Arabidopsis thaliana: one gene and its partner. The protein of the gene in region 2 purifies or fractionates together with the protein of the main gene of each other region. This does not show direct contact. Each region holds a gene or a part of one and is shown on either strand. Other genes may lie near its edges.

Region 1 (5,708 bases), on a different chromosome or scaffold from region 2:
CGTCTCTGTAAAAGCAAGAGGCTTTGAGTTCACGTCTCGTGGTGGTTTCTCCGTACCAACCAACGGTGAAAGGGATGCAAGAAACCTCGGAGATGTTTAGGGATCGATCGAGAATCGATTTCTTGAAAGGTGGGTAAGTTAGAGGAAGCTTGCTTGCTTTGAAAAGCTCTATGAATGTGAATGAGGGGAAACCATGGCCTGTGTAGATGCGGGAGGATGCAATCTTGCTCGTGGTTAGGTCGATGATGAGCTCGTAGGTTTGACCACCGGCTCGAACCACGACGAATGAGCGACGACGTGGGGGTGGTGGTTTCTTGGAGGGATTTGGTGATAGCCATTGGAGGACGTGGCTCTTGTTTGGTTCTTCGAGGTCGAGATAATGAAATGTGAGATCTTTGAGGTTGCCTAGATGAGATTTCTTGACGATAAAGCTTGTTTTGTTGATTTCTTGGGGAGTTAAGGGATCAAGTGGGTGGAAATGGAGACCAAGAGTGAAAACACATTGTATGAGAAAAAGTATGGCAAGTATTGATGTGTTCATTGATGGAGTTGTTATTGAAGTAGACGACAACAATACATTTACATTTATATGCATGCACCTATATGTTTATGTGTTTTGTAGGAGCGTCTCTATATATGATTAATAATTAAAAACATATATAGTCCGACTTGGAAAGTCGTTGAATGAGAACCATATGAGAAACGTAAAGATGAAAAATAATTATCACGTGACATATTATGTACTCTTCCTTCTAATTCACGGGAGCAAACTTAATATTCGAATCGGATGTATAAATAATAAATATATAGGTCATAGCTTGAAGTATAAAACAAGGATTATGCAAGATGAAGATTACTAATCCCCCACTTGCACACATGATGATGTTACTGCAATATCAGGTTCTGCCGCCAGCGCTTGAACTTTGTTTACGTTAACTCAATTCTCTAATGCACAAATTATATTCAAATGGATTGATCGCTTTTGTTAAGAATCCTTGATATTTCAACATATGTCGCGGACTCGATATCTATTTTGCTGCTCACGATAATTAATGGACTTGTAACAACAACTATTTTGCTGCTCACAACAATAGTAAGTCAAGACTTAAGAAAACTAAAGAACTGGTACTGATATAATAATAGGTCTACCACAAATTGTGGTCCACAATGGGTAATTTCCTAATAGAGTTTTTATTTTCTCTCATGTTGTAGCATCAAAGGGATGAGGAGGAGCATGACTGGTTTGTAATCTTGGGAAGCCATTCTTTGTAGTAGTTTTGGCAATCCACATCAGTCTGAGATAGAGCTCCAAGCGGCGTCACCGTAATCTGCAGTATTTTAAAAGAATGTTTGTTTCTTTTTGAAGTTTGGATGAGTGGAGATGAGTTAAAGAGACAACTATGGGAGATATGCTTACAAATCCTTCTTTTAGGTAATGAGAATCACTCCCTTCTTCACTGATGCTTGCCCTTAACTAACAACAAACAGAGCAAGAAGGTACACAATTTCATGAATTCAAAAGAAAGTAAGAGCAGAAACAATAGTGATTAATCATTAATGATATACCTCTCTTTTGAATAAACGGCTATCTTTTCCCGCATGAGCAGATGTGTCGTTCTCTGATGAGACTACTCCTGACTCTGTATCCATTGTCATTGTTGATAACATCTTCGGCCCTTGTGCTTCCTCTTCCACTTGTCTCCATCCCATTTTACCCATGCTTTTACCTTGTCTAGTTAGTTTGTATCCCTTTTTATTTGGAAAGAAGAGTCAGTCATATAAAACTCAGAGGTATAGTTAGGTGTAGGCATTAGAGAATGTCTGTTGAAAGCTGCGACGAGACTTACCTTGTGGTTAGCAATATCAGTCGGCAAATCGATATTCAGAAAGCATTGCATAGGGTGAGTTTTGTTCTTGATTGCACCGAGTATGCCGTTGATAATGGGCAAGCAGGCTTGGGCAGAAAGGGCAAAATCATTAGCATTCATCTCTCCACGTTTCCTATAGCATTAAGGGTGAATAAAATAGAAGACATTTAGTGGCAAAAAGAGAAGATGGTATCAATAAAACCGTATGGAGGCTTAAAAAAAATTAGGAGTGTAACACAAACATAGAAGAAATAACAAACATGTTATGAAACTTTTTAAAAGTAAGACGCAAAATCTCTGCAAGTAAGACATTAAGCTCTTACCAATCAAAATCATATGATATGGAGGCAGAAGGCACATCATAAAGGAAGGCTTCACGAGCGCCAGCAACAGTTCCAGAATAGACGCTGGGATGGAATTAACAGCCAGGTAAGTGCTAGTTTGATAAACTCAGGCAGGAACCATAGAAGCATAACATGGTCTATAACAATTTGAATTGGCCATAGAAGAAATCTGGTTTCCAGTGAAACAATCTAACTAGAGTTTCTCTTACTATACTCTCAAAATCTTGTTCTAATCCTAAACAAAGTTTCAGCAATTTTGGTAGTTTTATAAAGTTTAAAATGCAATTTTTAAAACGGACAAATAACAGTTGCACCCTAATAATCTGTACAAAAACATAACATAGTAAGGAAATAGGAAACCAAAACAAAGAGAAACAGAGGAGGAAATGTTCACCGACATGTTATAACCGCAGTTGCTACCCACGTTTATACCACTCAGAACCTGCATGGAGAAAACAATCATACATCACAAATTCACAATCTCCAGAAAAGACAATAGAAGGAAAAAAAAACACTACAAAGACCAACAAATCTTAGATGTTTCCTATAAAATTAAGCAGAAGTTTAAGTTATTAAAAACAAATCGAAAGATCTATTGGCACATCATTTAAAACTAACATTACATCAGAAGGCTTTTACAGGGACACACAAATAATATGGTTTACCAGGTCAGGACGAGAAGGAAAGAGTGCTTCCGATAAGCCCAAACCAGTGCAATCCGCAGGAGTTCCTTCAGAGCATACAAAACCATATGTTATCCAAAGGATAAAAGACAAGAGCCAACAAATGTAACAAACAAGCCAAACAATATCATATCATTCAACACCATATGATTAACAATAGAAACAAACCATCAACAGAATAAGCAGTAGCTCCATCGATCTCTACTCGTTTTGCAGTGAGTGGTCTACTCCATATTATACTGTGACTAACAGCAGATTTCTCCCTGGAAAATTTCATAAACAAGTAAGAGTTACACATGTACCTCCACAAAGCAAAACAAAAACAATGAAAAGAGAAAGAATCTGATGTACAAAACTAAACACATAAATAGATTTCTTCGAGAAGATTATATCAAACGATTAGCATTTCTAAATGAGTCCAGAAACTCGAAATCGATATCTAGAGAAATTCAATTCGTACATAACCATCATATAGGAGCGATTCGATCGTATACCAAAGGAGATTTGAGCTACATTTCTACAAAAATTAGAGTAAAACGTACGAATCAGGAGCGCAAACGCGAACATCGTAGAGGTTAGTGGAGACGAGGACACGAACAAGAGAACGAAGGCCAGGCGCGTCTATTCCGTCGTCGTTGGTGACCATAATGATCGGTCGTTCACCGGAAATACGATCTCCACCGTCAATCTCCATCGCTCCGGTTAGAGAAATCCGTACGAAATAGAGATTAGAGAGAAAAAGAAGGAGAAAGCTTTTGGAGCTTGTAATTAGTGGAGTGGCTTAATTTGATAATGACTAACTTTAACACTTATTTATAGTAATTTGGGAAGTTATGAACTTACCATTTGAAAAAATCAAATCCTTTATCGTCTGTAGTGATACATTATATGTTTCATAATAATAATAACTATTTTTATTTTAATATATTCATAAAATTGTTTATATGAATTAAATTATGTAATTTCCAATGTTGTCTTGACCACAATGTTGTCTTTAAATAAATGAAACAGTCAATCTAGTCATTTATTATTCACTAATATATTTTTGTAATAATGCGAATATAAAAGAAAAATAACTTTCAAAAAAAATCTTATTCCATTTTCACATGTTTCGTGTACACATCCCATCCAATAATTTTAAGTGTTATCATCATGTTTATGTAACGGCTAACGATAAAGATAAAAGAACTTTATTGTTAGAGGTTGTGGTCATTTTCACGCAACAACAAAGTGGTCAAGTTCAATGTATAAACAAAACATTTCCATTTATTCCTACACTCTTTTGAACTGGGGTTGAAAGATACATCAAATTATTGTCCCCTTAAAATTTTGTCATCAACCTATCTAGAGGAAAACGTTTTCTAGATGACTTACTAGTTACTACGTGTCATACCGCAATCGACCGTTTGTAACTTTGTATTATTTACTTTCACACAAGTCGCAATAACAAGTCAATGTCAATTAATACTTTATGGGTTTGGTTTTGATTTATTCGTTATTACATTCATGGTGGTTTATTGTTGTTTTGTCTAAGTTTGTTTCGAACATATTAGAGTCATTTTACATAATGTATAATACTACCATTAATTATTTTCCCATTCAATATTTTGAACTTGCATAGAAAAATTTGGTGAAAGCAACGTCACAACTAATAATAAAACAGAAGCTTGCAAATCAACGATAAAGTTGGGCCAATCCTATCTTAAGCTTGATAATGGATCGAAAAATAAAACGTCATGGGAAATAAGAAAACCATACTAATTTTTATTACTTATCCACTCATCGATGGGCCCAAGAATCTAAATGCACGCTTTTATATCATTTTCCAAAAACAATAAAATTGGACTTATATTTATGTCACATTACACAAAATTATCAGATAAAACAATAAAAACGGAGTCATGATCAGCCCTCAAACCTCATAACAAAAAGATGTTTACAGTTTCTCTGAAGACTTGATGCAAACCTAAACACATCCGACGATAAGAGAGCGTCTACGGACAGCTATAGAGACCGAGTTTGGCCACTATTCCCAAACGTGAAGGGACAAGAACCATCACCCACATTTAAAATAACCCACTTAGACCGAACCGTCACCTTTATTCGATTCCGAAAACCCTTACCGAAGCATTCCTTTGTATTCTCTTCTTCGGTTCATATAATTATCTTAATCGACCTTATTTTCTTTTTATTTCATAAGTGAAATCAATTAACATTATGCAAGTAATATTTTTCCTGTGAACCTTTATCAAACTTCATCGCCATTTTAAAAAAGCTTTCATCGCCAATTATCTCTATGCAAGTGATTGACAATTTTAACATAATATTTTACTTGAGGGTGAGATTTTTAAAGAAAATGTAGTGAACGATTTTTTTATAAATCTTTTGATACATGTAATGTGATATGCACTCTTCTTGCAAAATGCATATAAATATCATGGGTGAATCTATATTCATAATCATGATCATGCAACTGAAGTATGTTAGTCATTTCATCACATCCACATAGATATAGATTTTATTACCCAAACTATTGAACTTTTTTTTTTTTTCATCAAAAAAAAAAAAAAAAAAAAAAACTATTGAACTTTTTTTACTATTGAACTTTTTTTTTTTCACCCAAACTATTGAACTTATCTCGATAATTCAAGTCTAATTTTGTTTGCTTTTTATATACATTTCTTGATAGTTGAAAGATCAAGAACCGATTAGGAACCAAAAATTTTGAAGTAATTTTGGTTTTGGTCTATATATCTGAATAACAAAGAATTGAAAATGTTTTGAGTATATTTTTCTTTTCAGAGTTCGAATAT
Region 2 (4,838 bases):
CTTCTTTGCTCCCAATAGACTTCTCACGAAAGCCATATCTATTGTTTTTTTGTTTAAAATGTTTGAATTCTTTTTGAAGCTTCTGAAGATGTATGAAAAGATTCAAGTTATTGGATTTCTTGTTGTTGGTTGATGATTGAAAGAGTGAGTTATGTGAGTATATATATAGCAAGATCAACTAAGGAGTTGAAATTTCTCTGAAAAAATCATTGAAACTTGTGGTTTTGACGCGTTGGACATACTAAAACAGAGAACATGGCTTTGTCTTTACCATTTGGAAAGATGCATTAATGAAATTTGTTTTGATGACATAATTATTGGAGTGTGTGGGACATTAAACTACAAACTTCATATGCAATTCACAAGGGACTGTCTTCTCAATGTTTTTTAGATATGACATATGCTATTGTCAATAATAAAAGCCAGCAAGTTTCTCTCTTCTCCATGTTCAGTGATGATCCTATTCTCTAATCTCTTTGGTCTAAATGGATTTAATAACAACTTAAAGTGGGGACCTGAAGTTTCTCAACAACATAACAACAAGTCCCTGTCACTGGTTAAGTTGTTCTTTTATCATACCCACAAATAGGATCTCACATGAAAGTTGTAAGTAAAAGAAGATTCTGTGGTAGGTTTGTTGTGAAGTCACTGTCGGAGACCAAGTTGATTAGAGATAGGACAGGAAAACAAAAGGCATGAGCTATGTTCCCTCTTAAGCCAAAGATTACGGCATAACGTTTCTTCAAGTACACCATTGTTATGATCTTACTATAAAGTAGCTGCTACTGATTCCTTAACAACTATCTTTCCCTTACACAATTTCAGGAGAAGAAACATTCTGTTCTTAGAGCTTCATTAATAAAAAAGAGTAATGGCGTTGCTGATTCTTTTCAGGAAAGTAAAGCATTTACAGGTTTACGTTGAGGAGAAAGAAGCAGAAGAGCTAGAAGAGAAACGAAGTAAATCAAAAGAAGCTGAGAAGAAAACTTGTCATTCGGGTTACACAAAAGATGTAAAAGCTAAGAGGTGAACAAGAAAATTAAAAAAATCTCCCATTAACATACTCTTGCAGAAATTCAGATGGTTCTTTAGCTTGAACCAAGGAAGCTTTTGACGAGCTGAGCCACAGAATTAGCCAAAGAATCAGCATCTTCTTGAGTGGAAGCCTCTGCATATACTCTCACCACATCTTCTGTACCCGATGGCCTTATAAAAGCTCTGCCACGCGAGTACTTCTTGATTTCAGAATTAATAGCATCTTGAATCCCCATAGGTCTCAGAGCCTCGGTTTCTTCGCTTGTGGTCACAACCGCTGTTCTATCTGGAACTTCGACCTTGATCTGCCTGCTAGGAAGGTCCTTGTATAGCTCATTCCACTTCTCTATCGACCATCCCAGGTGTTGTAGAATCACTTCAACCAAGAGCACTCCACTTAGAGCATCACCTACCGCTTGGTTAATCAGATTACTCACCGCCATTAGTCTAGAAACAGCTTTGTGCTCTTCAGAACCACCCTGACCTTTAGCCGTAAGATCCTTTTGTTTGGAAACTAACCAAGATAGGAAAGATTCCGAGAAGAGAATAGTCCCGTGGCCATTAGCTTCAAAGTAGATTCCAATATCAAACTCTGCTGCTTTCTCGTGTAAATGCTTAACTCCAGTTTTAGCAAAAACAACATCTAAACCCAAATGCTTTAGGTAATCAGTAGACGCACCATTCGCGTAAGCTGTCTGCACAACACCAAGACGAGACTGCTTCCTTTCTTCATCATCCTCCAGAGCATTTAGTTGCTCTTTGATGAAGAGAGCAAACAAAGACAGAATCTTATCACCGTCAAGTAGCTCAACCTTTTCAGAAGAATCTGAAGGAATGTAAAAGTAAACCAATCGATCTGCATCACCATCCAAACTCGCACACCTCATCCCAACATCCTTAAACCCAAATCCTACAGGCAAAACCTTTTCTTTCTGCACAAAATCAGCACCTACACCTTCATTAAGCACACCACCATCTCTCCCTGTGTTACGAATCTCAACATCTAAATTACTCAAAGACCCTCTTAGCTTCTCAATCTTCTGTCCACCTACACCATTAGCACCATCTACAAGCAATTTGCTAATCTCTAACTTATCATTTCCACTGCTTGGAATCAAATCAATCAAACACCTAAACGAAGTAGATAGATTCTCAAAGTAATCATTCTCAGTTGCCTTAAGACCTTTATTCTTAGCTCTAACCATCCAATGCAATTGCGGAGTTGTCAAAATCCCAATGTCAATCGCAACAGATCCCAAAATTGAACCAACTCCGATCTCACCAGCTCTGAGAAGTGATTCACCACTAGGTCTAGTATCTCTTCCCAACCAAACCTCTGCACCTTTATTATTCTCTCCGATTGCAATCTCTTCCTTCTCCATGAATTTTCTAATCAACGAAACGAGTTCTTCAGGAGAAGATGCGTTAGCGATCTGATCTGCAAAAGGCTCCCATTCCTGAGAAAGCATAAAACCAGATGGATCTGAAACTTTAATGCCATTGTCAGAGACTTTGTTATGCGAAGCTGTGATCATAAGCCCGACGGTGGCTGATCCAAGCTTAAGTGATCGGAGAGCTGAGAGAATCCCAACTCTATACACAGTTGATTCCAATAACTTTGCATCGCCTCTGAATCCAGCTGTTCCATACGAAAGCTTGACGCCTTGTGGAATCGGAAAAAGCTCAGATGATTTGAGGATTGAAGCTATTTGGATCTCGTCCATGGTACTTGTGAGAGAAACAGAGAAGGAGGAGAAATGAAGCTAATCAACGTAAAGTAAGCTTTTTTGACATAAAAGGAAGCATTTTTATTTGACTATGTAATTGTTACATTAGTTTATTTGACCAGGTCCAGAAGAAGAGATATATGGTGCCACTATCATACTTGAACCAGCCTTCATGTCAAGCTCTTCTCAGTAAATCAGAGGAAGTGTTTGGGTACGATCATCCGATATGTGGCTTAACGATCCCTTGTCCTGAAGATGCCTTCATCTCTGTAACTGCGCTACAGGGAAGATGATCCAGAAAGAAGATAGATCAAACGTTATTTAGCTCGAGTTAGGTCAACCTTTTCCCTCGAGGAAAGAGTTGTTCAAGAGGTTACAATATTCAAATGTGACTGTCACGTTATGTGTGAGACACAATGGTGTTAATGCTAATCGCAGAAAGTTTTTCAACGAAAAAAAGCTTCATCATGACTTGGATTTTGGGAGAATGCGTAATGCCCAATTGGCGTCACATTTAAGCAGATGGATACTACATAATTTAGAAAGTAGCGCGACCAATAACTTCTAAACACACAGATAAAAGTCTCATAAAACAATCTTAACTTCAAACAACAACCAGGGTTTCACAACAAGCATACGGTTTTCAAGATAACAGAAAATAAGTCTGATAAAACATTCTTAAAATAAGACCAACATAGAGAGGTTCCACAACTAGCAGATAAGATCTCAGCTCTTGTTTAGTTGACAGATAAGCGTGGGATACAGAAGTCAACAAGCAGACCTGCTGGCTCTTTCACCTGAGACTCCTCACCACCACCAAGCTGGACAAACATACGGCTCACAAGCACTTTGACAAATGAAGTCTTCTTCTTGTAACAGATCTTCACAGTAGCAACAGTTTTTCCCTCGGACTTATCCACTGCAACTATGATTACATCCCTAAGTCCAACATAGCGTGATTCCTTACTAGACTGGCTAGACAGGCCCTCGTAAAATCCCTACCACACAAACAAAAAAGTTGAACAAGATTAGATCAAAACTTTGTCATTGATCTCTGAAAATTCGAAATTTATCTAACAACACATTACCTCTCCAACATTATCAAGCTCTGGACTGAAGACATGGAGTCTTGCTCCCACCGGTTGTTTAATCAACAGCTTAAACGCTTCATCCAAACTCTTAGTCTCAATCACTTCTCCTTTCATGGGCACGCGAGGAATCTGACAGGCAAATGGTGGAGCCTTGAACGGACATCCCACATGTGCCCACTGCTCACTTCTCGGTAGCCCTTACTTGAAAGCACATTCAAGGCAGTCTTTGACAGTGAGTGGTTGCTCCCTTTCTCCCTGCACATCTTCCTTCTTATTCCAGACATTTTCATCCATATACTGAAGCAAGTTTTGGAGAGTGAGCTGAGAGCTTTGTTGATCCATTTCTCCCTGGTTGTCTTCCTTCCCAGCATTATCCACCAAATACTGAGCTGAGTACTCAGTATACACAGCATCAAGCTTGAGGATAACCCGTGCAGAGCTAATCAGATTCACCGCTACCATAGCGGCATGTTGAGACGCATCTGGAAGACAAAAAAAAGATGAAAACGTTGCAGTCAATTCATATGATTTTTTCAAAAGATTAGATTGAACATGTTACATTAAAAACGGAAGCAAACAATCAGTTAAAATCAATCACCGTTTCTTTAAATGATGCGAAGAAAGTAAATTTCTCTAGATTAAAGATTTGATTATTTACCATAATCTTCACGCTCATTATTTGCTTTTTCGCAATCTGGATGACAGAGTCCACGACTGTTTGCAATAGATTGCATGAATAGCTGATTCATATCCATCTTCGATTACTTATCCCTGGTTTGAAGTAGAATCCAGTAGAAGAACACATTCAGAAGAATCAAGCAGATAAAGAAAAAAGAAAAACAAAACAAGACTTAACTAGCTAAAAGCATAAACATGGTTTCAGTTTTTGACATAAACATAACCACTTTACAAAATCCAGCAGAATCAAGCAGATAAAGCAAAAGGAAAGACAAAACAAGACCTAACTAGCTAAAATCATAAACAT

Evidence for each region.
Region 1: the proteins of DRT101 (region 2) and AT4G14930 fractionate together in Arabidopsis thaliana (co-fractionation; one large-scale study listed by BioGRID). This does not show direct contact.

The regions. Positions count from the first base shown.
Region 1 is NC_003075.7:8,536,712-8,542,419, reverse strand, and holds AT4G14930 (Survival protein SurE-like phosphatase/nucleotidase), read right to left. Parts: upstream 3,835-5,708; 5' UTR 3,590-3,834; coding exon 3,438-3,589; intron 3,159-3,437; coding exon 3,064-3,158; intron 2,943-3,063; coding exon 2,878-2,942; intron 2,655-2,877; coding exon 2,611-2,654; intron 2,276-2,610; coding exon 2,192-2,275; intron 2,002-2,191; coding exon 1,848-2,001; intron 1,750-1,847; coding exon 1,567-1,749; intron 1,475-1,566; coding exon 1,418-1,474; coding exon of another isoform or gene 1,329-1,417; coding exon 1,215-1,328; 3' UTR 542-1,214; downstream 1-541. Other genes in the region: AO1 (amine oxidase 1), read right to left, coding at 1-541.
Region 2 is NC_003076.8:5,979,038-5,983,875, reverse strand, and holds DRT101 (phosphoglucosamine mutase-like protein), read right to left. Parts: upstream 3,108-4,838; 5' UTR 2,760-3,107; coding exon 1,089-2,759; 3' UTR 741-1,088; downstream 1-740. Other genes in the region: SAUR24 (SAUR-like auxin-responsive protein family), read right to left, coding at 1-36; AT5G18065 (target of trans acting-siR480/255 protein), read right to left, coding at 4,052-4,335, 4,512-4,608. UniProt on the Arabidopsis thaliana protein: Interconverts GlcNAc-6-P and GlcNAc-1-P.